4 linked regions of the Astyanax mexicanus genome follow. Each later gene encodes a partner of the first gene's protein in a complex. Links are inferred from orthologs where the notes say so. Each region holds a gene or a part of one and is shown on either strand. Other genes may lie near its edges. The genes, in order: snrpf, prpf31, scnm1 and snrpe.

Evidence for each region.
Region 2: snrpf (region 1) and prpf31 share a complex: the UniProt entries of both Homo sapiens proteins name them as parts of the U4/U6-U5 tri-snRNP complex. The link is inferred for Astyanax mexicanus from reciprocal best matches to the Homo sapiens genes SNRPF and PRPF31.
Region 3: snrpf (region 1) and scnm1 share a complex: the UniProt entries of both Homo sapiens proteins name them as parts of the minor spliceosome. The link is inferred for Astyanax mexicanus from reciprocal best matches to the Homo sapiens genes SNRPF and SCNM1.
Region 4: snrpf (region 1) and snrpe share a complex: the UniProt entries of both Homo sapiens proteins name them as parts of the U7 snRNP complex. The link is inferred for Astyanax mexicanus from reciprocal best matches to the Homo sapiens genes SNRPF and SNRPE.

What each region holds. Positions count from the first base shown.
Region 1 is NC_064415.1:29,819,681-29,826,571, reverse strand, and holds snrpf (small nuclear ribonucleoprotein F), read right to left. Parts: upstream 3,013-6,891; 5' UTR 2,849-3,012; coding exon 2,846-2,848; intron 2,362-2,845; coding exon 2,236-2,361; intron 686-2,235; coding exon 621-685; intron 267-620; coding exon 200-266; 3' UTR 38-199; downstream 1-37. UniProt on the Homo sapiens protein: Plays a role in pre-mRNA splicing as a core component of the spliceosomal U1, U2, U4 and U5 small nuclear ribonucleoproteins (snRNPs), the building blocks of the spliceosome.
Region 2 is NC_064413.1:29,852,322-29,859,419, reverse strand, and holds the start of prpf31 (U4/U6 small nuclear ribonucleoprotein Prp31), read left to right. Parts: upstream 1-4,092; 5' UTR 4,093-4,233; intron 4,234-6,383; coding exon 6,384-6,599; intron 6,600-6,685; coding exon 6,686-6,746; intron 6,747-6,839; coding exon 6,840-6,923; intron 6,924-7,098. Other genes in the region: uncharacterized protein lmtk3, read left to right, coding at 1-254, 436-520, 2,299-2,423. UniProt on the Homo sapiens protein: Involved in pre-mRNA splicing as component of the spliceosome. Required for the assembly of the U4/U5/U6 tri-snRNP complex, one of the building blocks of the spliceosome.
Region 3 is NC_064413.1:39,899,311-39,906,719, reverse strand, and holds the start of scnm1 (sodium channel modifier 1), read right to left. Parts: upstream 3,012-7,409; 5' UTR 2,894-3,011; coding exon 2,843-2,893; intron 2,665-2,842; coding exon 2,594-2,664; intron 1,690-2,593; coding exon 1,601-1,689; intron 1,273-1,600; coding exon 1,178-1,272; intron 1,066-1,177; coding exon 965-1,065; intron 545-964; coding exon 444-544; intron 302-443; coding exon 169-301; intron 1-168. Other genes in the region: lysmd1 (lysM and putative peptidoglycan-binding domain-containing protein 1), read left to right, coding at 4,237-4,416, 5,130-5,437, 5,698-5,845. UniProt on the Homo sapiens protein: As a component of the minor spliceosome, involved in the splicing of U12-type introns in pre-mRNAs. Plays a role in the regulation of primary cilia length and Hedgehog signaling.
Region 4 is NC_064431.1:7,027,282-7,034,896, forward strand, and holds the start of snrpe (small nuclear ribonucleoprotein E), read right to left. Parts: upstream 3,018-7,615; 5' UTR 2,876-3,017; coding exon 2,822-2,875; intron 2,054-2,821; coding exon 2,027-2,053; intron 1,825-2,026; coding exon 1,762-1,824; intron 563-1,761; coding exon 484-562; intron 1-483. Other genes in the region: yod1 (ubiquitin thioesterase OTU1), read left to right, coding at 4,071-4,176, 5,506-5,733, 6,394-7,091. UniProt on the Homo sapiens protein: Plays a role in pre-mRNA splicing as a core component of the spliceosomal U1, U2, U4 and U5 small nuclear ribonucleoproteins (snRNPs), the building blocks of the spliceosome.

The sequences.
Region 1 (6,891 bases):
TCCATACATCTTGAAATAAATTTGGAACACAAGCAAATACAAAATGCATAATTTTATTTGCACACTTGTGCCATCATAATTATGCTTCTATAGTGTACAAAACATTTTAACACATGAATTACAAAAGGGGGAGAAAAAAAAACAATGTTTCACATACAACTAAAACTAAATTATACATCTTTAACTGTAAGCATACTCCTCATTCCCTCATCTCCCCATCTTCTTCCTCCTCTTCTACACCTCTTATATACAAAACATTGTTACACCTGTGAAGGACAAGAAAACAATTAGTTAATTTACATTCTCTCCCCAGTTTACAGATAATTAATTAGTACAGATCTTATATCTCTGTTCCTGGTACATCTGACACAGTTCTATTCATTATACATTTCACAATAATTTGTTTTTGGAAACAGAACCAAAACAATGGATTGGCTCAGGCCAAATTGCTATCTAGCAAACAATTAACATAAAACAGGTTGAGGTTAAAGAAATGCACAATCAACTTAAGAATAAGAGATACATTTTCCACATTGATTGACTGTTGTAGCGAACAAATGCACTACAGTGGTTATATTGTATATGCACTATGCAGCAATATCATCAGTACAGCCACTCACCTGACAAGCACCTCGCCAAGGTGACCTGCTAAAGCTCCATCCACATACTCCTCTGTGTTTGCCAACTAAAGACAAAAATAGAAATATGTTGAATAATTGTAATGTTTATCTACTAAACTAAGCACTTTTTAACTGTCACAATTATGCCCTTGAAGTCATTATAAATACGTAAGATGTTTTTTTTTACTCTGAAGTAAAGCGAAATACACTCTAATCAAATGTACAATCAGTGTTCTTAAAGAATTGAAGGCATACTCAAATAGGTTTAAAAAAAAATACTGTAGGAAAAAAGTATGATAAGAATCTTATTGCCAACCTCTAAAGCATACTGTCAACTCCTGGCACACAATAAGTAAACAAACTTAAGATTTAAGAGTCAAATTAAGAGAACAATGTAAACTGTAGACACTCAAATTTACTCAATACTTCCATTATGGTAACCATAGTTGAACAGCCAAGACATGTTTGATGCCTGAAGTTTGCTTTGCTAGATTTGCTGCTCACCAGCAGAGACACTTATTTCACCCACTACCACAACATTGTGAGGGTGAATAATGCTCTACTATAGGGGTGAATAAAAAAAAAATACCATGAAATACTGTGATATTATTTTAGGGCCATATCACCATATGGCCCTAAAATAATATCACAGTATTTCATGGTATTTTCGCGATAACGATACTCTTGGCGATATAACGAAATACTGAATTTAAAAAATGATTTCAAGAATACACTAATGCACCAAAATAAATATTAAATTTTCTTATTGCACGTGATATGATATGGCACACCCTTAACTGAGATTTTAAAAAATACCAGAAATTACTCAGATTTGTAACAGAAGTCAATGATCCAGAATGTCACGGTACTAATAATGCGTTCTACACATCTCAATATATCCAGGATTAAAGTAAAATAAATGACACTGGACAGATATAATCTGTCTCTACTAGAAATAAAATGGAAAATGAGAACAGTGTGAATTTTCTTTTGCTAAAAACAGCATAAAAGTAGTACCCTGATGTGATAATTGGGGGTGGGTGATATGGCACGATATTTCAGGGTATAATATCGCTCACAATATCGTATTATCGCGTGCGAAACGATATGGCACACCTCTACTAGTAGAAGAGCCCCAACTACCCAACATAACAAATTAGCGGGTGAAGATTCAGTGTTACAAATGTAAATAATTACGTAAATGGCAGTTCATAATAAAAGCAATAAAACTACTCACCCCGCTTCCCTGAACTGTATCATAATATATAGAATCAGGCTTTCCAAATCCTACCGAGACTTCTGCCGCGAGAATTTTCAAATATGGCGTTTTTTCTCGTATTTTTAAATACGTTAAATATACACCGCGGTAGCGCGGTTTCACATGGTAGCACAACTCGTCAAAACACCGGCTCTTTTTAGTGAGCCGAACCAAAAGAACCGATTCTCTAGCTAAAAAGAGTCGGAATTTCGAATCACTAACACAAACTCCAAAATAATCCTACACCAAGAAGGGTAACAAAAACATGCTGGAGATATTGTATAGCTAGACAATTATTCTCTAAATTACTGTACATCAGTTATGGACCAGGGTAAAGTGTATTTAGAATAACGTTACCTGCATGTTCATGTATCCATCCACTGATACCAGGTAACCCTTGTACTCCATACCCCACTTCAGCTTCACCATCACGGGCTTTCCGGTCAGACCGTTCAGGAACGGCTTCGGGTTCAGCGGTAAACTCTGTGGAACAGAAGGGGAGTACAGCGGTTCAGTCTATAGTTAATAAACATAGTGGGGCTTTACTCCAGCAGACTGAGCAAGCTGTAGTAGCTAGCTAACGCTAACACTAGCTTCGCTAAAGTTCATTCACGAACACTACGTTTCTCTAACGTAAGTTAGCTACTGCTACACAGCTAGCTAAAGCTAACTTGCTAAGACTATTACAAACTGAATATATTGTTACACAAGCAAAGACTTCAGACTTAAACCACATTCAGTTCACCCATAACACAGCATTAACTAGTGAAAGTCTCATCTGTATGGTATTTTACTTCAGTCGCTTTAAACTAACTTACTTTAAATGAATGAACTGCTGCAGCGGGTCAAAGCAACCGGTTAGCATTAGCATGCTAGCTAACCACAGCACTCAGGTCCTCATCACTGTAATCACAGTTTTAAACTAAACCCGACCGTGTGGTTAAAGGCGGTCACGCTGAGTACTCACCATGTTTAATCAAAAAATATCAGGCTTCGGAAAACCTTCAAAAGTGTTTCATTCAGACGCTTGTGTTTCAGAAGCTCACTCGCACGCCTTGCCGCCAGGAAAGGGAAGGACCACGAGTGAAGAGTCGAGCTCTGACCCGCAAACAATAGAGCCGCCCGTACCACAGCGCCCCCGCGCCGCGCCGGAGGAGCTTTACAGCGGCTACACTTCATCACGACCAACAGGGGGCGCCCGGTACAGAGTATAGAGGAGTGAAAGATAACTCACTTATTATACAGCTCTAGAACAAACATTACGAGACCTCTTCAGTTTCAGAATCGGTTTATCTGATTTTTCTATTTATAGGTATATGTTTCAGTAAAATGAACATTGTTGTTTTATTCTATAAACTACGGACAACATTTCTCCCAAATTCCAAATAAATTATCGTAATTTACAGCATTTATTTGCAAAAAATGAGAAATGGCTGAAATAACAAAAAAGATGCAGAGCTTTCAGAACTCAAATAATGCAAAGAAAACAAGTTCATATTCATAAAGTTAAAGTGGAATAATTCTTCTCCACCAGTCTTACACACTGCTTTTAGATAACTTTATGCCACTCCTGGAGCAAAAAGTTCAAGCAGTTCAGCTCGGTTTGATAAGCTTTGGCTTGTTATAAGGTTTTCAGTTTGGTAAAATCAAAGAAACCCATCATTTTTAAGTGGTTTCTTTTTTTTCCAGAGCTGTATATCTGCAGTGAACGGAGCCACATGACAGGGCACGAGGGAAAACATTACATTGGATTTTACATGGGTGACAGGGGGAGAGGAAAGTCGTCTGAGTTTTTTTCTTAGATTAATAAATTAGATAAAAATATATAATACTTTACTGTACATTCCCACTCCTGCACACTATTAACACTTACATACAGCAGTATTTTGTATATATCCTATAAGGTATAGTTTATTTTTCAAGCCTCAGTTAGCATTTTCTATAGTTTTAGGTTTCTCACGGTGCTTGTACTATCTATCTATCTATCTATCTATCTATCTATCTATCTATCTATCTATCTATCTATCTATCTATCTATCTATCTATCTATCTATCTATCTATCTATCTATCTATCTAATGTTGTTCTCTTCAACCGCATTACCCGCTCTGGCCTTTAGATGGCACTGCCATTCAAAAAAATGAATTCGCCGTTCAACATTTTTATTATTATTTTAAAACTCAGTCCCAAAGGCAAAGTGAGTAAATAAAGACTAAATAACAAAATGCTTAATTTACGGTTTTACAGTAGGGACATTTACGAGATGCATTATGCTGGGTAGTACTTATGAAGAATCTAAAGCCACCTACTTAGCCTGGTAATTACGTGAGGAGTTGAATCAGGTGTGCTTGAGTAGTCCACCTTCCGAACACTGGAGGGTGACCCTCCAGGTCTAGAGCTGCACTACTTTTGGGAACTTAAACAACGACCCAGATGGGACTCAAACCCACAATCCCCAGCTCCGGAGGCTGATGCCTTATCCATTAGGCCACTGGGCCACAAACACAGTGTGTTTCACTGCCCCTTAAGGCTAAAACCTTTTCAAACAACTATTTTATGAAAATAATGTAATATCTTATCTTATTGTTTCATGTAATGGGACAGTTATTAAGATATTTTAGTGCTACTTGTATCATGTATGTTTGAATATGAAAATTATTTATAATCATACATTTAAATGGCTTAAATGTAATTCCCAGCACATTTCAATCTTGTTTACACTTGTTGGAGCACCACCTTAAATCATATACCTATCCAGTTGTTCAAATTGGTAAACCAAAAATACCACATTCATGAACATTTAAGTATTTTCCTCTTTTAAAACATGCAATTCCTGACTGGTCGAGTCACATGTGTTAGAGCAGGAAAAACACAAAAGATCAGCCCCATTAGACCTTCCATGTATTTTCCTGATCGTTTCCACAGATTACTAGTACAATTATACAGGGGACACCTTCTTAAACATGTAGTTATTTATCATTTATACGTGGCCTTCAAACACATTTCTCAGTGGTAACTTAAACAACAACCCAGATGGGATTCAAACCCACAATTTCCAGCTCCGGAGGCTGATGCCTTATCCATTAGGCCACTGGGCCACAAACACATGTTGATTCACAGCCTCTTGAGTGCAAAAACCTGTTAAAAATTATTCATTACCCTTATGCCCTTACCTTGTACTCATTATAGTCCTGCACCCTGAGGGTAAAGAGGCAAAAATTTACCCAAAATATTTTTGAGTGGGAACAACTATACAAATAAACAACGAACTGTTTAACGTTCTGTTTTACAGAAGGGACATTTAGGAGATACACTATAAAATTACTTACACTGGAAATCATTGCATGGCTGCGTCCAGAAACCCCAAAAGTGTCTCAAGAGGCTGATGCCTTATCCGTTAGGCCACTGGGCCACAAACACATGTTGATTCACAGCCTCTTGAGTGCAAAACCCATGCCAAACTATTTTTATTACCCTTATTCCATTACCATATACTCTTTTCTGCACCCTTAGGGTAAACAGGCAAAATATACATTGAAATTGAGGTTTATTGAAACAAAAAAATCTCAAAACATAAGTATTTAACCAAAATGTTTATGAGTGGGAGCAATTATACAATGAACTGTTTAATCGTCTGTTTTACAGAAAGAACATATAGAAGATAAATTATAAAAAATACACATATCATTGCATGGGTATTACTTATGATGAATCTTAAAGTGAGTTTGGCAGTTGACCTACTTAAAGCCACCTACTTTGCCTGGTAATTCACTGAGGAGTTAAATCAGGTGTGCTCTGGTCTGGAACTGTGCACCCCTGTTGGGAACCTAAACAACGACCCAGGTGGGACTCGAACCCACAATCCCCAGCTCCGGAGGCTGATGCCTTATTCATTAGGTCACCGGGCCACAATGTCTTGGTAATTAACAGCCTCTAGAGTGCCAAACCCTGTCAAGTAATTATTTTTTTCCCTTATGCTCTTACCTTATACTCTTTACAGTCCTGCACCCTAGGGTAAACGGGATAAAAGGATAAATTAAAATTGAGGTTTATTGAAACATCAATCACAACACAGAAGTATTTACCCAAAATGTTTATGAGTGGGAGCAGCAATAAAATAAAAAAATAATTACACTGGAAATCATTCCAGGGGTAGTACTTATGAAAAATCTAAAAGTGAGTTTGGTTGCTGGCCTACTTAAAACCACTGACTTTGCCTGGTAATTAACTGAGGAGTTAAGTTTGGTGTGTTTTGACTATAGTCCAAGGGCCAAAGTCTAGAACTGTTCACTCCTATGTGGAACCTAAACATCGACCCAGGTGGGACTCAAACCCACAATGGCCAGCTCCTAGAACTGTTCACTCCTATGTGGAACCTAAACATCGACCCAGGTGGGACTCGAACCCACAATCCCCAGCTCCGGAGGCTGATGCCTTATCCATTAGGCCACTGGGCCACAAAGACATGTTGATTCACAGCCTCTTGAGTCCAAAATCTTAAAAAAAAGATATTTTATTACCCTCTAATACCCTTATGTTCATATTAATGCTAGTTTTTTGAAGTATGTTTGACTGTGTATTCGAAATGTAATTTGATTTGACTTTTATTTATTTATAAGGAAAACAATTTCAGTATCTGCATATTATATTTAAGAACTAACAGTATGTTGCTGTGCAAAAAAAAAACAATTGTCTTGATTTCTGTAGATTTTTAGTTTACTACATAATTTGGACACACAAATTTTCCCTTATTTCCCTTATATGTCAACATTCCTTGATGTATGCACAAATAGAAAATCTCCAAAATTACCAAAAAAAACCTCTTTTTACATTGACTTCCATATTAAAAGTTAAGATGGTTTCACCTCTTTTCTGAAAAGTTGCTGTTTTGGAGATACTTGTTTTTATTGGACAGTAACAGTATATGGAATATATAGAACCAACAGTGAAGTTACTTTTTATCTTATGAGTTTATGAGTTTTATACGTAATTTGGAATCAGGTTTGCACCCACA
Region 2 (7,098 bases), on another chromosome or scaffold:
GGGACAGGACTGACCACAGAATTGGTCGCAGACGGGGAGTTTCGAATGGAAGTGATCCTGAAGAAGATGAGGAGGAAGAGCAAGAGGATGAGTCATCCAGAAAAGTTATTGTCATCACGGAAACAGATGTTCACAAGCGAGTAGGCCTGAGGAGCTTGCTAAAATCGCCCAAGGAACCCTTGGACAAAGAGAATCGTGATCACGGAAGAAATGTGTCCTTTTTTGATGATGTCACTGTCTATCTTTTCGATCAGGTACCGGTCACACATTTAACTTTGTGTAGAGACTAAAATGTGTCTAATATTCTAAAAGAACTGCCTTTAAATCATGTTCTTTGTCCAGAGAGAGGAGAAATGTTGTTAATGTAATTTTCTTGTTGCAGTAAGGCAGATGTTTACACTTGATTTGTTCTTTACTAATTAACTTATCTTGTAGGAAACTCCAACTAATGAGCTGAGTTCTGGCTCTGCACCCACAAGCCCGTCTCCCCTTGGAAAGCCTGCTCACTTCGATGGACTTGGTGAGGGCTTTCACATTTAGCTGCATAAAGCTAATGCAGAATTTACATAAACATATTAAATTAAATACATTGCAGAAAACTGAGAAGACCATTATTTTACATCATCATGTTGTGAACCATGAATATTCATTCAAAATGTTTGCTTGCTGATTAGATGAATACAGAATTTACATAACTTACTTTTAAATATTTTTTTAAGCATTTTACATCAATATGTACTAAATTATGTGCATTCCTTCAAATATGTTTGTCCACTGGTTAGAGAACTGCTGCCTTTTCACAACGAATGCTTGAATATAAAACCACTTCTTTTAAGTGCCAGACTGTCTGACTGTGAGTTTGAGTTGCATTATTTATTTGATTAATTTTTCACAAATCAGCACTAAATTTAGATGCTCTCATTTCACAGCCCCTCTTGGAGTGAAAAGCAGTTCAAAGCTCTGCTCAAGTCTATTTCAGGAGTACTGGATCCTGAAATCCTGAGCTTTTATATAACAAGAGATGAGTAGGAGAAGTATAGTGCTGTTGACCCTTTGATGTGGTTTAATCTGAGTTAATTAATCAGCTTCACACTGTGTAATCTAATGTTTGCATTTTAGATCAAATTAGCTAAAGCCTTTAATCTGATAAAATGCACTTCTTAAAGCTAAATATGGAAAATTATGTCTTTATTTATATAACTTTGGTAAAGTGGGCAGGACAACTGTTGTGAGAAATGACTAACACACTTCATTTACTTCTTTCACCCTTGATATTGGTTTTATAGACAAAACAAGACAACCATATTAGTGCTAAAAGAAAATGTAATTTTTTTAAGCCATCGTTGCACATTTTGTATTTAAAACAGTGGTGTAAATGTGAAGTTACTGCAGCAAGCTTGCACTAGTGAGTTCAAGCGCTCATGGAAGTTGTAGTTAGTTAATCTTAGTAATTTATTCATGAGACATTATAACTACATGATGTGTGCAGTATTGAATAATACTTCCTTACTGCCTAAGGCATCTACTTGTGGTAGGTGTAGTCCATCAAGTAATTTAGATGTTGGGATTGGGCCTCAGTAGGCCACAAAATACAAAATGCCCCAAAAGTTAGATTTAGAAGTAACCTGTATAACTTGTGAGATTTATAAACAGACCTCTTGGAGTCCATCTTAGAAATCCCAAGTCTAAGGCAGTATTTCTCAATTAAAAAAAATGAAGAAATGTTCAAAAAATTGCACCCTATGGTAAGCAAACCTGTTTCAAATCCAGTATTTGTTCTATGTACATTTGTCTCTTAATAATTCCCAGACCTACGAGATTGTTAAGGAATCTTAATTTTAACATCCTTGCTAAAAGCAGACCAACACACAGCACTAAGTAATAAATTGCATGTAATCATTTAAATAGTTTATCTTTAACATTATTTTAAAACAACACCAGCAACTCTTTTTAAAACTTTTTTTTACTACTGTCAATGCAAGTCAACTACAACATTTAACAGAGCTTTGATTTGGTTTAGGGTATTTTGGTGAGGTCAGTCCAAAATCAACAATATCCATATTTTAACAGTCTCATAATTCATCCACTACTAGCGTACATGATTCCTTATGTATTTCTTTAAAGTCTGTATCACTTCAGTATTCAGGAAAAAAATAATAAAAACATTGAATGAGAAGGCTTGTAGAAAAATGCAAAATATTTTTATGTTTTTTTTTATTATAAAAAAAAAGTGCTGTGGGACATTAAACTTAGCTTAATGCTTTATCTTTTTAATCACATGTATGTTTTTTCTGCTAGGAAGCAGCAATCACAAGACCAGCAAGAACAAAGACCACATAAAGCCAAGGTCTCCCACAGGTGTCAGTTCAGTCCCACCATCACGCTTCACCGTCAGCCCTGCCAACGACCCACATTTGGTGTGACCCACTATTCCTTCCTATACACCTGGAGAAAATGTAGCTCTCTGGAGTGACAGAGTTTCTCTGTGGTCATCGTGAAGCACGGTGGCTTCTGGAGGTTATTTTTTTAAATCAGGCTAAAGACTCCTGTTTTCAAGGCTGGAGGTGTTCCAGGTTTTACTTTGCTGCGGGAGCAGGTCCGTCCTGTGCAAAGCAGGAACCTCTACAGCCACGCAGCCGGGAGCTATGTAAAATCTGAAATGGAGTTTACGGCTATGCAACGGGAGTCTTATTGTGTACCAGCTTAACTGCTCTATTTTCATGGCTTCTTGAAGTACATTTGTATTCTGATCCTCTTCCACACAAGAGGAAGCACTTTCTTTGACCAGTACCTGTCTATTTGTGAGCTCGAATAGAAATATTGCCATTGTAAATTTGTTCTCATTGCAGTCAAACATCCTCGTAGGCTTGAGAGGGAAATCCCACCCTCCCTATCTAACAGTGCAGTGCTCTTTTAGTATTTGTACAAATGGATAGTGAATTTACTGTACAAACTCCATTTTAAAACCATTTATTTTAGATGTATTGTTAGAACGCACGACACAAAATGAACCTGCTACCTACTGTTATGTTTTATACTGTATTTTTTATTGCAAATTGTTGTTTGTTTCTGTATTTCTGTTTACTTCATTGTGTATTTAATTATTTATTTATTTATTTACTGTACGACTGCAACAATTGCACAATTACTTTGCTTTAATTGTTTTTGGATGCTGTGCATTGTTGAAATAAGTTGCTTCATCCATCTCATTAAATAAAACCAGATATTTCCATAAGTATAAATGCTTTGAAATATTTTATATCATTTACCGATTTCTAGATGTTAGTCTGTATCTATTTGTCATTTACTGTGTCTGTTTATAAATGTTATTTTTAACTGTGTATTTGACATGTTCTCGTCATTACTTACATTCAAAGCAATTACTGTTGCTAAGCATGGAGGAAAAATGAAGGCAGTGCACATGTCCATGAATTGATCTGTTTATTCAACTTTAATTTGATGATCAGTGATTGGTGTCGAAGGTGAATCAGAACATTTGTAACGTCGCTTTCAGCATCTGTTTCATTGCGAGGTTTCTTGAGGAGGTTCTGGGTAACCAGGAGTGGTAAAAAACAAAGACAAAAAAATAAAACAAAACGAATAAAACTAAATCACATGGAGACTGTGAAACATTTAATGAATTGTTTGATGAAAATAAATTGTACTGGCTTATAATAAATACCCTGCTGTATTGAAATTTTTGAGAAATATTTAAAATTTCCAAACAACTTTAATTTCATGTAATTTATTTAAAATAATTGATTAAAAAAATATAATAAAGCTTGATTGATATGGGCGCAAATTATTGAAATTTTAATTTAAAGCTGTGAATTGTGTTTTGTCAGAGCTGGTTTACGCTTCCTCAGATATAGCTCTGAAAAAAAAGAGTCCACTTTGACCAAATATTAAACTTTTTGCATTATTTGAGGTCTGAAAGCTCTGCTTTTTTGTAATTTCAGCCATTTCTCGTTTTCTACAAATAAAAAAGTGGTCTCTTATTTTTTTTTTTTTCAGAACTGTATGCCTTTTGTCTCAGTGAAACTACATTTCCCACAAGGCTTTGCGATCTACTGCGCTATTAACGACGCGTTTAACGTGCGACCGTTACGACGAGACTGCGTTGTTTGTGAATGGTTTTGGTTAGTTTCGCTCGTTTTTAAACAAACTGTATTTTGTTTGTAGTCTGTTACCCGTGCCGTGTTCCGTTGTGAAGGGTAGGAACGCGTTTATAAGGTAAGTAGTAATGAGTTTAGTCCTCTTTTAGAGCTTACTGAATGAAATTATAGCGAATAGTTCAGTCCGGTTCAGTCGTTAGTTACTTAGGCGTGCTTAGTTTACTGATAATAAAGTATTTTAAACTGTTATTTCTGTTAGAAACTATCACTGTAACTGCTTGCATTACCAGAACTTAAAGTGTGTGGGTTAGCACTAAGCATGCTAAAAAGTACTTTTAAATCATGTAGTTAAGCTAATCTACTGTGTTTTAGTCTCTTTTTAGAGTAAAGGAATTCTGTTGTACTTGCTTGTAGCTTACTAGCTCTCTTCAGTTCCAATTTCACATGTATTTAGTTTAATGATGTGTGAATGAACAGATAAAGACTGAGTTTACCATTCTCATATCTCCATGTTCTAAACAGAGTGGTCAGGTAGGCTCTAAGACCTTTTTGCTGTTTAACATTTTTTAAAAACATTTTCTTCAGTTTTTGTTATTGAGAAATACTGCCTTAGACCTGGGATTTTTAAGATGGACTTCAACAGCACAACAAACATCCTCAAGAGGTCTGTTTATAAATCTCACAAGTTATACAGGTTACTTCTGAATCCAACCTTTGGGGCATCAGCATCCTTAGCTGCACTATATTTGTTTGGGTAACCAGCAAAAGCTGTTACAGCCAGAAAAAAAGGTCTAGGGACCTACCAGACCACTCTGTTTTTAGAATTAATGTAGGCCTATGTGACCTATATTTGAAGAAGTGGTAACCAAAGCACACTGGTGCCATTTATTTTTCTGTCTTTTTTTCTAATGTTTATCCAAATTTTGTCCCAGTTTACACAGTTAATTACCCAACCCACTCATTAGGACCCCTATCATAATGCCCCAACATCAGGAGGATGTAGATTAGCACATGCCTCTTCAAATACATGCCTGCCAATGCAGCATTGCCCTGTAGCCAGTGCACTCGAAGGAAAGCACATCGACCCGGTTCGGATACATCAGCTCACAGAATTAGCTTTTATTTGTAATTAAATTAAGCTGTTTACTTTAGAAGGTGATTTGTATCCATATATAACCTTTTTCTTGGTACAAAGTTAAAGTTCCTTTATTTATCTCCCAAGGAAGAAATTTTGCTTAGACACAGGGCATGCTGCAATACAACAGACAGACAAACCTAGACAGCAACATGTGACCAGAAGCCATAACATTGCTGTACATCGATGACTTGGTGTATTACATTTTGTACTTCTACAGAACCCCACAAGCCCCATACAACAAGGGTATACTTAGACCTCAATGTTATTTAGCTGCTCTGTGGTACAAAATGGTGTTTGTACCTGTTATTCCTGCACAGGGGAACCTTGTATCTCCTACATGAATTCATGAGCTGATACTCAGGATACAGCGCATGTGTGTTATCAGATATAATATTTGCTTCTGGTATTTAAGGATTTATATCGAACAGAAGTGAATCATTTAGTTTTCCCACCCTCTATTAACACTCTCCAGCCCGTAAAGCTGTGGCTGCAGTAGATGCAGGCTTACTTAAAATGGACAAAACATATAGACTGGTATGATATATCTTGAGGTCTGCTATGAACAGAATCTGGCACAATATTTTGAATGCATAGACCTGACCCGCCTTGTTTCAGCAGTTCTGACACAAGACACATTGCTGTGGCCCCTGGAGATCAGTAAGAGTTGAGGGCCCAACATTGGCGGACCGCCTAACTCTGGTATCAAACCCAAACCCTTTTCCTCAATGGTCCAGTGCTTTAACAGCTGATCTACCACTGCCCACAAAGGTAGAGGTGGTGTAATGATATTTTCTAAGCAGTGGTTTGAGTATTTTTGATTTGTGTACATTCCTGTAAGATCATAATTAGATTATATTACTATTTCCAGGATGATAATTTATTATGTCAGAAAGTAAATGTAGCAATGAGAATAATACAAATGAGCAGTGCAGCGTGTTTTTCCAGACTGGTCAGAATTCCTTAAAAAATATGCTCATAAGTTTTCTCCTTTAACTTCTTTCAAAAGCATAAAAAAGCTTTGCTGATTGGAGCATACTGAGCAAAAGACTAAATAGGTGTCTAAATAATTTAAGAGACCCAGCTGATAACAGATATTACAAATTGACTCCTAATAATGCCTTTCTTCGCAGATGTCTTTAGCGGACGAGCTGCTGGCAGATTTGGAGGAAGCAGGAGATGAAGGTGAAGATGGACTGTATCCAGGAGGGGAAGGCGAGGAGAGTGATGGCGAAGACAGAGAGAGAGAGGACAATGGAGGCCTGGAAGACATACCAGAGGAGATGGAACTGGACTACAGTGGGGCAGAAAGCGTGTCGTCCATCGCAAAGTTACGAAACAGCAAATCAGTCAGTACCCCAATGAGTAACTCAATCACTGTTCATAACACCTGCTCACTTTCTCTGTCTCTAAACTGTGCTTCTTGTTTTGGCAGTTTTCTGAAATCATGGAGAAGATTTCTCAGTATGTAGGGAATCCACGCAATAACACAGATGGTAAGAAGCAACCTCCTGGAATTAGGTTGGTGGTCCACGTGGAGGTGTACCCTGAATAGCAGCACTCATTTATTGATCTTTTCCCACTTACAGTATCCGGCCCTGTGGAAGCAGACCCCGAGTACCGGCTCATTGTTGCTGCCAACAACCTGACTGTGGAAATCGATAACGAATTGAGTGAGTTTGGTTTAGTCATTTTTCTTCTTATGCTTTACATACGTTTTTAGTTTTATTGTTTGGATTGTGTGTTAAGGAGGATTAGGGGTGTCACGATTCTCTAAATCCTCTACTCGATTGTATTTCCAATTTTAGGGTCACGATTCGATTGATTTGGTTCTCTTTTTTCTTTTTC
Region 3 (7,409 bases), on another chromosome or scaffold:
ATGCACCATACCAATGTATTGGTATAGATATTAACATTAGAATTAAGCATTTTAATCTTAACATTTAAAGTATTGCCTATTGAGGCCAAATTCATTTGACTACTCACATAGTAAAGCCATTATGGGCTGCCAAAAACTCTGTGCTGAAATGGCTAAACAATGTCATACCTCTTTAATTTGAGGTAGTGTTCTAGTTCTCTGCGCCTCTGCTCAGTCAGAGGTTCTGACTCGGGTACACTGGGAGCCTTACAGCCCTTCTTTTTATTCATCTGTTTTCCACTCTGGCACTGATCCGGATTTGCTTAAGGGGACAATAAAGTCATTCTATAAATAAACTGCATACATCTGCATCAAAATAACATCTGATGCATCCTAGAAATGCAAGCAAACAAACAAAAACTAAATAACAGTTGTATAATAATAGTAAAATAATAGTAACTTACTTTCTCCAGCAGGTTTGTGTTCTGTGTTTATGCTGCTTGTTGCAGTAGATATGTAGCTCTCTGGAAGACAGCTTTTTGATGTAACGTTCTCTGATCTTTCACTTAAAACAATTAAAAACCATTATATTATGATAAATAAATACATTATACAAATAATTGTTAAAAGAATCTGAACACACTTATATATCCTACTCCAAATATGGAGTGAGTTGTTAAAATAAGGATCTGTTTGGTGTTCTACTGAAAATTTCAACATTTTTAACACTGCAATATATATTGTAAAAAAAAAATCTATTGTAATGCCTTTTTTTTTTTTTTTTACATTGTGCAGCCCTTATAGATATAGACACAGTACATATATATATATCATTTATTATGACTGATATAATGTCAAATGTAGTGTCATATATTGTGTAAGTTGCATAATATTAAATTGACATAATAATCATGTAAAATACAACATACAATAAAAAAATAGCAATGAGTTTCTAATATCAAAATAGAAATGTATTTATCATTACCTGGCCTTTTTATGGCAGCTGCTGTAAGGAGAAGATCTTAGTAAGGCATGGTGGGTAATTTTCCGTGTCTGTGTGAGTAAAGGTGCTGAGCTTCCAGCTTCCTAAACCAATAAACATGGTTTATGAAATTCTAATGGTTCTATCTACAACACTGTACATTTTGCAAAAGGTGGGTACCATTATTGTAAGTTGAACAAACATGCTATTTTTTACCTGCTGGTCGTCTTCCTTATTAACATATTCCTGATGTCGCCTTTTATCAATTTCGTTCTGTAATCGCGATTTTTTGCCATAAAACCATTTTAGACCTAGACAGTAGAAGACCCAAGAAGAAAAGAAAAGAACCCAACAGTGATCTAATACAGACTTGACGAAAAAACAACAAAATACACATTTCAACAAGACAATGCCAGATGCACTTATTTCATTAAGTTAAATTCATGCATAAGGTAAAATCCACCAAGACCTTGTGAAGCTAAATTAAGCAAAATCCAACCACTATTCTTGGTGTTTGAACAGCAATGAATAATGTGTGAGAAGTTTAATTTTAGTTTAATTAAAAGAAAGCACAACAAAGCACTGTAAATGTCCTCAATACTTTTTTAAAGACAACTCAATAATAACACAAATTCCCACCTTCAAGATGGCGCTTTCCTTTCCTGTGTACACTCAGCATATCCACAGTATCAAACACTGGACGATGTGAACAGACTAAACAGCTATACCTATCAAATCCAAAAGAATGTCAATAAATTACTACACATATACAAAGATGATCTTACTCATCTGAAGAGTATATCAACCACATATACCATACATATTGTTTAAAGTGTAGACATATGAATATTATAAGTACAAAGCTTCATTTTGCCCCAGTGGGAGTTGCTTGGTGGCAGGCCAGAAATTCAAGGAAAATAATCCACAATAAAGGTATTTTTGTAAAACCCATAATCTAAAGCTGTGCTGGGCAATGGCTTCTGAAACAATGTGCACAACAGGAAAAACACAACACTGATGAAAAATGCTGTTGTAGCACATAGCACATTCAAGGAGTATATTTATATACTAATTGATTAAATAAATTAGACATTACATTAATTTGTCATTTGGTTTAAAATAATATAGACCTAATTCAACATGTATTTGGTCACATAGCAAAATTGCACCTATTTCTGCACACACTAACTACCAAACGTTGCTTGAACAGGAACAATGATTAACGCTAATGTGAAAAACGACTAAATTTCACTCTTAATGAAATCCACATCACTAAGAAGCAGTATCCCAGATATGGATTAGGTGACCTAATCCATATCTGGGATAATTTAGGTCTAATTGTAGACTATTATTTTAAGTTTCCTTTCTATGGAACATCTCAATTTAAATTGTTGTGTGGTCGAAGACTAGGCATAATCCTTGCTATGTAAACTGCCACACATGTAAAATGCTTTTGGCAACTCAAAAACGCAAAATATAGCTTTAAAACCCCACAATTCACTTCAGGCAATAGTTAATACAAAAATGACAGAAGCGTGCAGGGACTTTAGTGGCTACGCTAGCTAACTCTGATTCTACATCCGGTAGGTTTGCTAACGCTAGCTACAACCTGCATATTTATTCATACACCACCTTCCATTCTTCATCAGAGTGGCCTCGTCTTCGGGTATGAAGTTGGAGAGTAAATCTGCAACACGCCGTTTCTATAAGCACAAATTATTAAATATATTAAACATGCTAAAGCCAGGATTTGTGTGCTTTCACAAACTTTAAAGCTAGCTAGCTACTAGCCAAACCTGCACTTAAACAAATCGTTTAAAGCATCTACCGCATCTCACGGTTCTCTTTAAAGCATACGGGGCTTAAGGTTGTTTACGTTACCTTTAGGACATTTAGCTGGCTCTGGTCATCGCCTTCTCTTTTGAAGGACATATTGTTTTATTAAACTGTGAGTTAGTGAGCTAAGCTTATCTTAGCTAACCGAGGTGCTGCGGACTTCTCACTCACACCGACTGCCTGACTTCCTGTTTTCATTGTGGGACTCGCTGGGCGGAACCATGGCAACGCCAGATTAGCTTAGCGAGCGCATTAGGCTAATGGAAGCTAGTCCATTACAGACACATAACTACAGTGCAGCTCACTATAATTAGCGGCGCGGTCACACCGCCAACACCACAGTCTGGGCTCCGTGCTCTGGTACAACTAGCTAGCTAGCCGTAACTTTACCTAACTATTTTAGAGACTGAGCCGCGTTTAGCTACGCTAACTTAATAAGTAAGTCCGTTATCTCGTAGCTAGCAAGCAAGCTAACTAACTTTTTCGTAGCGTAGTGGTGAGTCGGTATGTCGTATTTTACTAGCTACGCTAGTTAGCTAGCTAGCTAACTGTCTAATCTGTCGTATATCCTGCTACGCAGTTTAAGTTAATGTTGAGCTAGCTAGATTTGGCAGTACGCATTAAGTTAACTTCGCTGGAGCTAAAATGTTTCCTAAAGTGGGCAGATAGCTAACGCAGTTTTTTTTAACTGAAGAGCTAGCTAGTCATGTTGTGGTCTACAGGATGGGCCGGTTAACACGGGTAAGTTAAGTTATTGTGTAACTTAGCTACTATCCTAATAAGTTACTTGCTATCCTAAACTAGCTACAGACAGTGTAAGTTATTTATTTAGTTAGCTAGTTGTGGGTTAAAATCTAATATGTATGTGTGTAAACAGTGAGTAAAAGTGAGATTGTAACGTTGGTTGCTAAATTGTCAAAATGAAATGCAGTTTCCCCCCTCTAGCATAAATCATGTAAGTTAACCCTATCTCGTTTTTTCTATTTTTGTAGCTAAGTGGGTTAACCTCTTTGTATTGAAGGCTAGAGGTTTATATTCAGCAGTAAAGTGGAGCTAGCTAGTTAACGTTAGTGTAACTTTATCTGATGATGGAGCTAACGTTAAAGTTGTAGAAATTACGTAGTTAGTTCGCGTTAGCTAGCTTGTTATCTCTGTTTAGATGGATGAACTCTATAGCTAACTATGTTGTTGGACAAGAAACTGTCCAATCTGGAAAAGAAAACTTGTTTGGCAGTGAGCTGTTTCATTACTATACTGTTTATTGCTGAATTACCTAGTGAACCTAACCAAGCTATAACGTTATAACTAGCTATTTATCTACAGTATTACTCGAGATGTAGCAGCCATCCTATTGTCTTGCTTACTAAAATTCTCAGCCCCAAACGGATCATCATCATCATCATCATCATCATCATCCTCAGTAAACTAGTAAAGTCGTCATGTCCTCGGACCGGACATCTTCACTCACTGGATCACACGGGCTCCTACGCGGTCAGCGCACCAAGTCTTATGGCAGTCTGGTGACTTCGTCCCTGTCACCAGTCAGACAGAAACGCATTGAACACAAGGTTCAACCAGGAGACACTCTACAAGGATTGTCCCTGAAGTATGGCGTGTCTGTAAGTGCGTTTATAAAAGTGCTCTACTCTAAAAGTTGTAAAACGTAGTATTGCTTTTATCCATATTCAAAAAAAAAGTAACTATTTGCGTAGCATTGGCAAGACAGGCAGGCTAAATCCATCCCTTAATTCACAATTTTACATTGTAGTATGCCCTAATGACTGGGAACATCTTATTTGCTAGTAAAATATCGCTGAAACTGTCGATGACGAGCCAGGGATTTATACATGAGTGTTGTAGCTAAGCAATAATAAGCCATAATCAAAATCTTTTATTCTTTGTGTTTAAATTAAAGTTTGGTCATGAGGGTAAATAAGAATTAGATTTTAGATTGCAGTTGTATTTAAACAAATCTAATATTTAGGTGTAAGTAAGTAAAAGAAAGATTCTAGTTCCTAAATTGTCAAAATGAAATGCAGTTTTAAGAATGTACATTACCAATATTGTCACCTTCTAGCATAAACACTGTATCTCAATATTTTTCTCAATCATTTAAATCTAGGTATTGTTCTTAAAATGGTCTTAAAATATAATAACTAGTGGACTAAAAGAACATGACAAACTTAATACAAACACTTTTTACATTATCTACTATGTAAATATTTAATAATCGTACTGTTCACATTATTACTAAGACCCGGGTGCTGCTTCATACACCTGTGTTTAAGTAGCTTGTGCCTATTTAAATGCATCTGTTTTTGACCTCTTGTAGATGGAACAAATCAAAAGGGCAAACAGACTGTACACCAACGATTCAATATTCCTGAAGAAGGTCCTCTTCATCCCAGTACTGACGGAGTCAATATCCTTTGCTAATGAGAATGAGCTACTTAATGAAGTGTCAAATCAAGAAGAGAGAAAGTCACTTCAGCAGGTTTCCGCTGGAAACGGCCAAGCTGACTGTGAAAGCCAAGAAGTGACTTCAGATCTTTCTCCATCGGACTACTTGAAAAGGATGGATAGTCTGATTAATCAGTCTAAACAAGCAGCTGTGAAAACATGTCAAGAAGGAGATAAACAGTGAGTATTTGCAGTAATTGCTTTAGTATATAATCTTATATTGTTAAAATATAAAGTTATGTTTACATACATTGTTATGCTATTATAATAGCATTATATCAGTGACATAAAATAAGGACTAAAATTACAATAATTTAATTTTTCACTGTTATTTCTGCAAAATATTATTCTGCAGTCCATCATTCATATCTAGGAAGCAAATGTCTTATTAATGGGTATGGAAGTTGAACTTTAATTTAGTTCTTTACATTTTTTTCAAGGTTTTCATCAATGAAACAGCTTCCCAGCACTCATGTCTCCAGTGCTTCTTTCCAAGGTCAACAGGCAGTGCTGGGGGCTGTACCTCTCACAATCACCAAACGTACCAAGAAACTAAGAGACAAAGAGGATGAGATTTTTCAGCTCTGACACTGGCTGCTTAGAAGATCTCTCTGGCTTGTGTCAAGTATTTAAGTATGCAAAAAAAACCTTCAAGTTGAAGCATGAATTGAGGATGTCTGATTTCATGCCTTTGAGCTAGTGGTGCTGTGTGTTTGATATTCAGACTACCAGCATCTGTGCACTTGATGACTGATTGATTGTGTTGTGGGAGTGATGTGCTCTGCTACTGTACTAAATGTGCTGCTGTGGCCTTAGGTCATGTTTGCACTCTGGCCTGTTGCCTACTATTGGCTGCATCACAAAACAAACTGTACAGTACTACTTCCTCTGCATTTTCTGTCCCATGACTTCTGTCTTTTAGTCCTCCAAGAAATCAGACATGGCTTGCTTAATGACTGTTAGAAACACTACCTCACAAAAAAGATGATAGTTATGTTTACAAAGCAGAATTCCTCAAATTAACTTGGCATTAACCGATTGAGCAGGTTTAGTCACACTGTTGAGACATGACCGTTTGCTGCAAGTAGCTAAGTGGTATGCAAATGTGATTTTAGTCAATGATTCGACCGTTAGAAATACTTATATAAGCTGCATATTCATATATACATATGGGGAAAAATGCCCAAACATGAAAACATTTCATCTTCCCTAATTTCCTAGGCACATTTCATGTTCTATTTACTAAAGGTATGTGATACAGATTTTGTTTTGTTGATTTGTTTTTGTCACGTAGCTGCGAGACTGCCAGGGTTTTATTTCACAAAGAAGGATTTTTCAGTTGGATAAAAGTAAGCCAAAAGTTTCTGCTGTCCAGTGGAAATGAGCAAACTAAGCCCTCTGAGAAATCCTGCTTTGTAAAATGCTGCCATTGTCAAAATCCATAGTTTTAGTTCTTGCCATTTTTTTGTAATTGTAACTGAGCAGTGATCTGCAGGTATACAATAAGAAACACTGTGCCCTGTGCCCTCTGTTCTCTCATTATTGTAGGGATTTAACAGATTGCTAATCACTGAAGCCGTTACATTAACTAGTGTCCTAATTTCTTATCGATTTCAGTTCAGTGTTTTATTTATTTGGTGTTTGCAGTTTTAACAAGCTGTAGCCAATTCAAACTTGACTTTTTTTGTTTGTGTAAGATTTGTGAGAATGGCCATAAACAGGAATGCCACCAAGTAGAGTCAGAGCAACATTCAGGTTTTCAAGATCTCATGACCCATTGATTAATTGCCAAAGGGAATTGCTCTAGATGAATACTTTGTAGAATGTATGTGGTTGTGTGCGCTGTGCTTACATTGTTAACAATGTAATACCATGCAGAAATATAAAAATCTAGCAGTACCAATAAAACACACAGCTGATGATGAATAAATGCAGTGTGCCCAAAGACCTTTGGATTTGTTAGTATTTTTATGCATAATTTATTTGGTTCCCAAGGAAAAAATATAAAACTGATATACAGTGCATGTGTATGAATATGAGAATGTGTTGAACACAAAAATCCATGCAAGATTTACTTTCAATTAATGGAGCAGATTTAAAAATCTTTTTTTTGTCTCCTCTTTCCATGTGCCCCCCACATGTGACTATATCT
Region 4 (7,615 bases), on another chromosome or scaffold:
GCTGACCTGAGGCATCATGCAGGAACGTGAGGATGGAGTAACTCAACAAAGTAAGGTGGGGTGAATCCATTTAAAGATTAAAAAAAAATAATAATAAAAGAATCAGTTTGAATTACAGGCAGCTAGTGGAGGGAGGGCAGAATGGGAGTTATTCACTCTCCCTTCCATGATCCTGTTAAAATTAGGGCAGCAGCATGTTGCACTAACTGGAGGCGTTTGAGGGAGGACTGACTGACCCCAAAATAAAGTACATTACAGTAATCCAGCTGCGATGTAATGAAGGCATTAGTTATTGTATGAAAATGCTCCTGTGTAAGAACTGACTTCACCTCTGCCAGCTGCTTCAAATTAAAGAAAGAAAAAAAAACTGGACCCCACAACTGCACTATTTTAAAATAACTGTCCATCTTAAACAAAGTTAGACATTGTTAGCTTCATAAATAGTGCCAAATACATTGACATAGTCCTATCCCTACTCCTTACCCAGAGTCTTTCTGTTCTTGGTCTTCATGTGGACTTCTTCTGCATCATCCAGAACCAAGTTCATGTACTCATCAAACCCCTACAGCAGAAGATAAAAACAGAAATAGCACTGATAAAATAACATCATTAAAACAAACATACAACAGAGGCCATTAACGAATCCAATACACCCCCCAAAAAATACATTTCACAGGTTAAATACAAACAGACATTAGTCTGTACTGAAAGCTATACATACACACTCTAGTCACATCTGTTCCTCTGCATACATTATTAGCATCCATTCATCCTGTTCTTCAATAGTCAGAAGCCAACAGGACCACCTTAGAGCAAGACACTTGACTGGATATATTTCTAGTTGGTGGAATACTCTAACGCCAGCAATGACACAGAGGTGTTTAAAAACTCCAGCAGCACTGCTGTGTCGGATCTACTTGTACCAACACCAGCAGAACACATACCAACATCCCAAACACATTTGTTATGCTAAACCACAGTCACTGCAGTGCTGAAAATAAATGACCCACCACTGAAATGTGGTGGCCTTGAGGGGTCCTGAGTTTTGAAGAACAGGGTAAAATAAGGATAATAATAAAGTATGCAGAAACAGATGCAGAACTACAGTCTGTACTTATAGAACTACAAATTGCTCTTACTTGCTGGGTGGAACTGATAAGATACACAAAGCAAACAAGGAGAAAACATTACATAGTCTATTTGGTCAGGTGGGCTTAAGGAGCTTTCACATCGCCATCGGTATGCCACATTGCTTTCTGCTTTGCTGGAAGCTAGCCAATTGTGGTTGTGTTGTGCTACTGCTGATGCCAAGGGTTGCCTGATGATAACAGGCCAGTGTTTTTAAAAATGAGTCACATCTACAAGTGTTTTGATGTGTGGTGTAGCTACAGCATCTGTAGACACACATCTGTCTTAACGTCAGAAAAAAAGCATTGATTCTTATCTTTTTCCTGATATTTTTATATGAGTGTAACTAACTGTATTAATCGTCAATATTACTCACTTGCCCATGTTTGGACTACAATGCATTTTCTGCTGTGGTAAGCAGTAGCATGGCAAAGGTATGGTTATGGGTGTGAAAACGCAACGCATTCCACAGTGGTCTTCATCAGCGCCAAACTGTCCTGGTGCTGGGGAAACAACTAACCCATGAGGGTCAGCCTATAGCGGTGTGGCTACTGCTTGCAATGCGAAAGCATGTTATTGCAAAGTACAAATATAGTGTTCTCTGATTAGTTAGGTCAGTAAATAATTACTTACAATAATGCAGCCTTCTATCCGCATGTTGACCTGCTCATAGAGCCAAACCGAGATACGAGATCGCTGCAGAAAAGAGGACAAAAAGATTATTAACAACAGCACAAACTTAGAACCACAATTGTGATACACAATATAACCATTAAATACGGTGCAGTCATAAAATGAGAATAAATTGTCTGCACTTTATTTTATTATTCACATTGTTATCTTATTGTGTACCCACATACAAGACCATTAATAATAACCATAAAAAAGCTGCACTTACATTCTGTAGATACCTGAAAATCAGATTCTGTAGACAGAAGTCAAGGACAAACAACTAGCACAGGCAAAAATCACAATTTAGCAAAGCCATTCTCATTAAATATCGAACTAGTCCACCTGATTATTTCCACACACACACTGCTCTACAACATTTAATACCACAACATATTCTAATTTATTATATGCTATACTATTTATATGCATTTTACTGCATGACCTATGCAAATTACCTTTTGGAATTTACATATGTATATTATATCGCCATTTAACAATTGATCCGTATTGCTCAGCCCCATTGCCTAGATTAGCTTGGTAAGTTTTATCTTGCTTGTAGTCCAACTAGCTAAACTATCAAACTCAAACAAGAACCTGCCCTATGCTCAAAATTACGGATAGATGGATGGATATACAGATAGATAAATATACAGATAAATAGACAGATATACACATAAATAGATATACAGATATGCAGATATACAGATAGAAATACATATATATATGAGTACAGCCCCAACACTAACCCCGTAACTTATATGTAACTAATGTTAGCAGAGTTATTGAATCAGTGCACTCTTTATAAACTCCCCCAAACACATTCTATCTGCAGTAATTTAACCCACCGCGAGTAATATAGCAGTTAGAGTAGTCCGATATAATAAGATAAGCTAGATAGGTTATCTAACGCAGGTAACATTACAGAAGTGAGTAGAGGCTAAGCTAGAGCTAGCGCTAAAGCTAAAGCTAAATGAATGGAGTGGAGCTCCAGCAGTGAATCAGTTTCAGTAGTAAAGGATACGATGGGCTGCACCATCACCTTCTGCACCTTCTGGCCCTGTCCTCTGTACGCCATGCTGCTGATCCGCGGGGCTGGAGCTGCTGCTGTAATATAAATATTATAACTGTAATAACTGGAGAATACAACTCGCCGGGGAACGATCTCCTCACGTTGGTGTAGCAGCGATGGCGGGGGGAAGCGCGGAGAGAGCTGCCTGGGGCTGATTTTTACTACAGCGCCGCGCAGCGACCAGGAGGACTAACCACACAGAGACCGGCCCTGAGACGCTGCCTGCGCTCAGAAACTACTACCTTTACTACCGCTTCTCTCTTTGTTCTTTTTGATTTTACAAACACAGTTCAAACTAAGAAAAGAAGAGGGATTCATATAAAATTGAACTTAAAATTATCTATGGATTTATGACATTTTTTTTTTCTGAGAGCTCTGTTGTGCGACGCGTGATTTATATTCACCAATAGTGATGGGCAGATGAAGCCTCATTGGGTGTATGGCACATTTCCCAAACTGTATCGACACTGTGTTGAAACTGTGTTGCTGTATCACTTAATGGCGACATCTGCTGGACTAAGAAAGTCATTGCAAGCAACTGCGCGAAGAAATGCATCGGTCACATGGTTTTCCTTAAAATGATACGCGGTCTGACACAGGGGTTCGCCTTGTTTGCTCGGTGCATGCGCTGAAGTTTCAGTGTCGTCAGACCCATCGCTACCAAACGATACAGTAAGTGTATCGGTCACGTGGTTTTCCTTAACTTGATACGCGCACCGACACGGGGTTTCGCCTTGACAGCTCGGCGCATGTGTCGAGGTTTCAGGGTCGTCAGACCCATCACTAGTGTTAGCAGACTGTGTTTGCTTATTGTTGTGACTTGAAAATCAGTACACATTTATTGTCCAATTTATGCAGAAATCCAATTAATAGTTTTTTTTTTGTGTGTGTGTGTATATATATATATATATATATATATATATATATATATATATATATATATATATATATTATAGACTATATGTTGCTCTATCACTTAAAATCGCAATAAAATACAACTACATTACAAATACAATTTTGTGTTGTAAGGTGGCAAAATGTGAAAATGTTAAAAGATATTTTCTTATTCTAAATATTGCAGTTATTTTATATTTAAAATAACAAGCTATGTTTTTTATGTAAATACATAAAACGTGTAACTTAGTTAATGTAATAAAACTTGATACATAAAAATAAACACAGACATACGTGGAAAGATGACATGAGCTCAACAACTGCTTGCGTCTGCACTGTTTTGTGCACGCGGTGTGACGCAGTGCGCATGTCAGTTGTTGGCCAGTGTGTTGTTATTTGGAAGGCGCTCCGAGGTGAGAAACGCTACGATATACAGACAATTTAAGCGAATTAACGGTTAAAAGCCACCGTATATGAGCACGGTTCTGTTGGGGACAGATTTGCGATGTTAACTAGGGCGGTATTTGATTAAATAATGCAAAAGTTCATTTAATATTGACGCTGAGATGCTGCTAAGATAACTGTTAGCTTGCTAAACTAAGATAAGCTAGTTGTCTATTATGCTGAATTAAGACCAGCATAGCTAAGCTAGGTTTGGTAGATTAGCTGACTGGCTAACGTTAATGCAACGTTACATTGCTGAGCTAAAATACAGTTCTTATTAATTTGGGTAAAGGGAGTTACAAGGCTGCTTTATTAGAGTTTAAATCTAGTTAACTAGCAAATATTCTAGGTTATTGTAAGATAGCTATATGCTGGGTTGGGTTATGTGGTTTAACGCAGCTTTCCTAGCTAGCTAACGTTAGCTAAGCTACTAACTATTATTAGCTTACAATACCCAGTGCAACATTATTATAAATGAAGCTAAAGCATTACAAGCAGGTTAACAGTATGTAGCAAAATTTGGATACACTTTTAGGGGTTTGCCAAGCTGTTGCATCAGTTTTAGCACAGTCAGCTACTTACCTACCTGACTGTCTGTTTTAGGCAGGCAGCTACCTCACCGACTGTTTGTGGACAATTACAACCAGGTGTCTTTTGTTTATTTCCCTTTTGTTTGGTTCTGAGGCAGTGGTCAGCAGCTTGGTTTATTTAGGTCCCCAAAATCACACTATATCCTTTCAGGAATTAAATTATTTACTCAGGAATGCCTTAACCAAAGGTGTCAAAAGTATTCACATTCATTATTCAGGTTGAGGTATAGATATAGTGGTTTAAAAATACTTTTGTAGAAGTTAAAGTAACAACTCAAGTTTTTTACTCAAGGAAAAGTGTAAAAGTACTTGTTTCAAAGGATCATATAGTGCACTACCTATTCAAATAGCAGCTTTATTGTGATCTGATGAAGCATGTGTGAGAAATCCATTGCGAAAACACCCACAAAAATAGGTGCTCCTTAAAAGGTAAAATTGTTATTAAAACATGGTCAAATTTACGCATATATTTCAATTTTGTTCATATTTACGTCTGAAAGGAGGCAAGGTCTAGGATCTCCTGTAAATAACGATATCTGACATTGTGATTCGTCTTTTATAAATTTTTCGTAATATTTTAAAGAAGGATCACGTTTTCTTTATTTGTGAACTGACAGTTTAACCAGTTGTGAACACGACAACAAAGATGTCCAAGAAGCCAAAGCAAGTAAAAGTAATACTACATCTTTGAGTTTGTTTGTTCCGAAGCAGAACTGAAGGGACTCAGGATGCTGCGACTGAGGTGCAAGGCCAAGAATGGAACCCATCTGATGCAAGGCCTCACGCACCAGTCCTGTGTCCAAGAGCTGAAAACCAAGGTAGAGGAGCTAACTGGAATTCCATGCGACGTTCAGAAGATCATGGTGGGCTACCCACCATCCAGCTTGGATCTTCGCAATGGAGATGCTCACCTAAAAGACTACCCTATAAAATCAGGTGAGGTTTTTATTTTGTTGATTTTTAAACATGAATTGACTTTACCCAGTAGGGCTGTGCAATATAACCAGAAAAAAAAAATCCATATTCATATCTAAATATCATATATATTTGGATATTCTGATATTCTGATAATTTATATTATGATGTAGCACAATTTTTGTTAATTCAGTGAATTTTCTATAAATATTTATTTCATAAAATAACATATAACTATGTATTTATATTTTTTCTTTAACAAGCAGGAAGAAGCGGGAAGGTTGCAGGATGTTTTTCACTTACTATTTGGCAATGTTAGTAAAGTATACACTTTGAAAAATTGGGACAGACACAACAAAAAAAGCACACTAATTTGGGGTTAAACTGTATGGAGCTCTGTTGTGGCTCGTTAGGAGTTTAGGAAAACTTAAAACGATATTTGCATGAGCACTCATCAAAGCTTCTAACGTGCATTAACATGCATAAGCCTGTTTGGGGAGCATTGGCTAAAAACGCTGTATTTTGCAATGCTGGTCGTCACGTTTCAAGTCCATTTCACACCGAATTGCATAGTTTTTGGTATTTGTTCACATTGCTACCTATATCTTTGGTTATTGGAAAGAACATTTACAAAAATGTTTTTTTTGTCTCCCCGCTTTCCCTTCATAACCTCTCTTACAGGAGACACTCTGATTGTAGAAGAAGAAAAGAACAAACCAAAAGTCCAGACTAATGCTGCTCTAACAAAAGTCCCATGCCTAAATTCTTCTCCTGTTCTGGAGCGCCGAGTGGTTCCTGCTGACAACTCCTGCCTCTTTACGAGTGTGAACTACGTGGTGGAGGGGGGTGTGTATGATCCAGCCTGCGCACCCGAGATGCGCGGCCTTATCGCCCAGATCGTGGCCAGTGACGCAGCTGCCTATTCAGAGGCAGTACTGGGCAAAAGCAACGACGAATACTGCACCTGGATCCGGCGTGATGACACGTGGGGGGGTGCTATTGAGGTCTCCATCCTGTCCAAGTTTTACCAGTGCGAAATCTGTGTCGTGGACACGCAAACTGTTCGTGTGGACCGATTTGGCGAGGATGCTGGCTACCAGAAACGTGTCTTGCTTATTTACGACGGAATCCACTACGACCCGCTGCAGAGGGCAACGCCTGGCTCGGACATCCCACCGCAGACTGTCTTCTCCACTACCGACGACATCATCCTCGCGCAGGCCCTGGAGCTGGCTGACGAGGCAAGGAGCAAGCGGCAGTACACGGACGTCAACCGCTTCGCGCTGCGCTGCATGGTGTGCCAGACCGGCCTGGTGGGACAAAAGGAGGCGAGAGAGCATGCCAAGGAGACGGGTCACACCAACTTCGGCGAAGTGTAACAGTTCGCTTTGGATCACCTTTACTGTGCCCTCCCACTGCCACTCGGTATATGTTCTCACCTGAACCCAAACCCAAACTAATTCACAGTTGTGTGTCTCAGCTTGGTGCCGTTTTCTACCTCACAATGTGTTTTAACCCAAAACCCCCAACTTTTCAGTATTAATTACAACTCTTGGTCAACACTGGGTTTTTGACATTCTTGAGCATTACGTTTTGGTGTGTATTATCAGCACAGTATTGCAACAACACCTTTTTATTTTTGATATGTAGCAATTGAGTTTATTGCCTAATGAGGAGTGAGCCTTTTATTCAAACCAAAATGTCAAACATTGCCTTCGTTATCAGTGTTTAAAACTTGCAACACTACTATTGCATAGTTGATAGCCTTGCTGTATTTGTGTGATTATTTCTTTTCTCAATTTTAAGGTTATATTGCACATTTCCGAACAATCGATGGCACTGAATGGTCTTAAAAGCTCACTGGCTCAATAATAACTGTTACTTGAAATAGTCGCAAAGATCA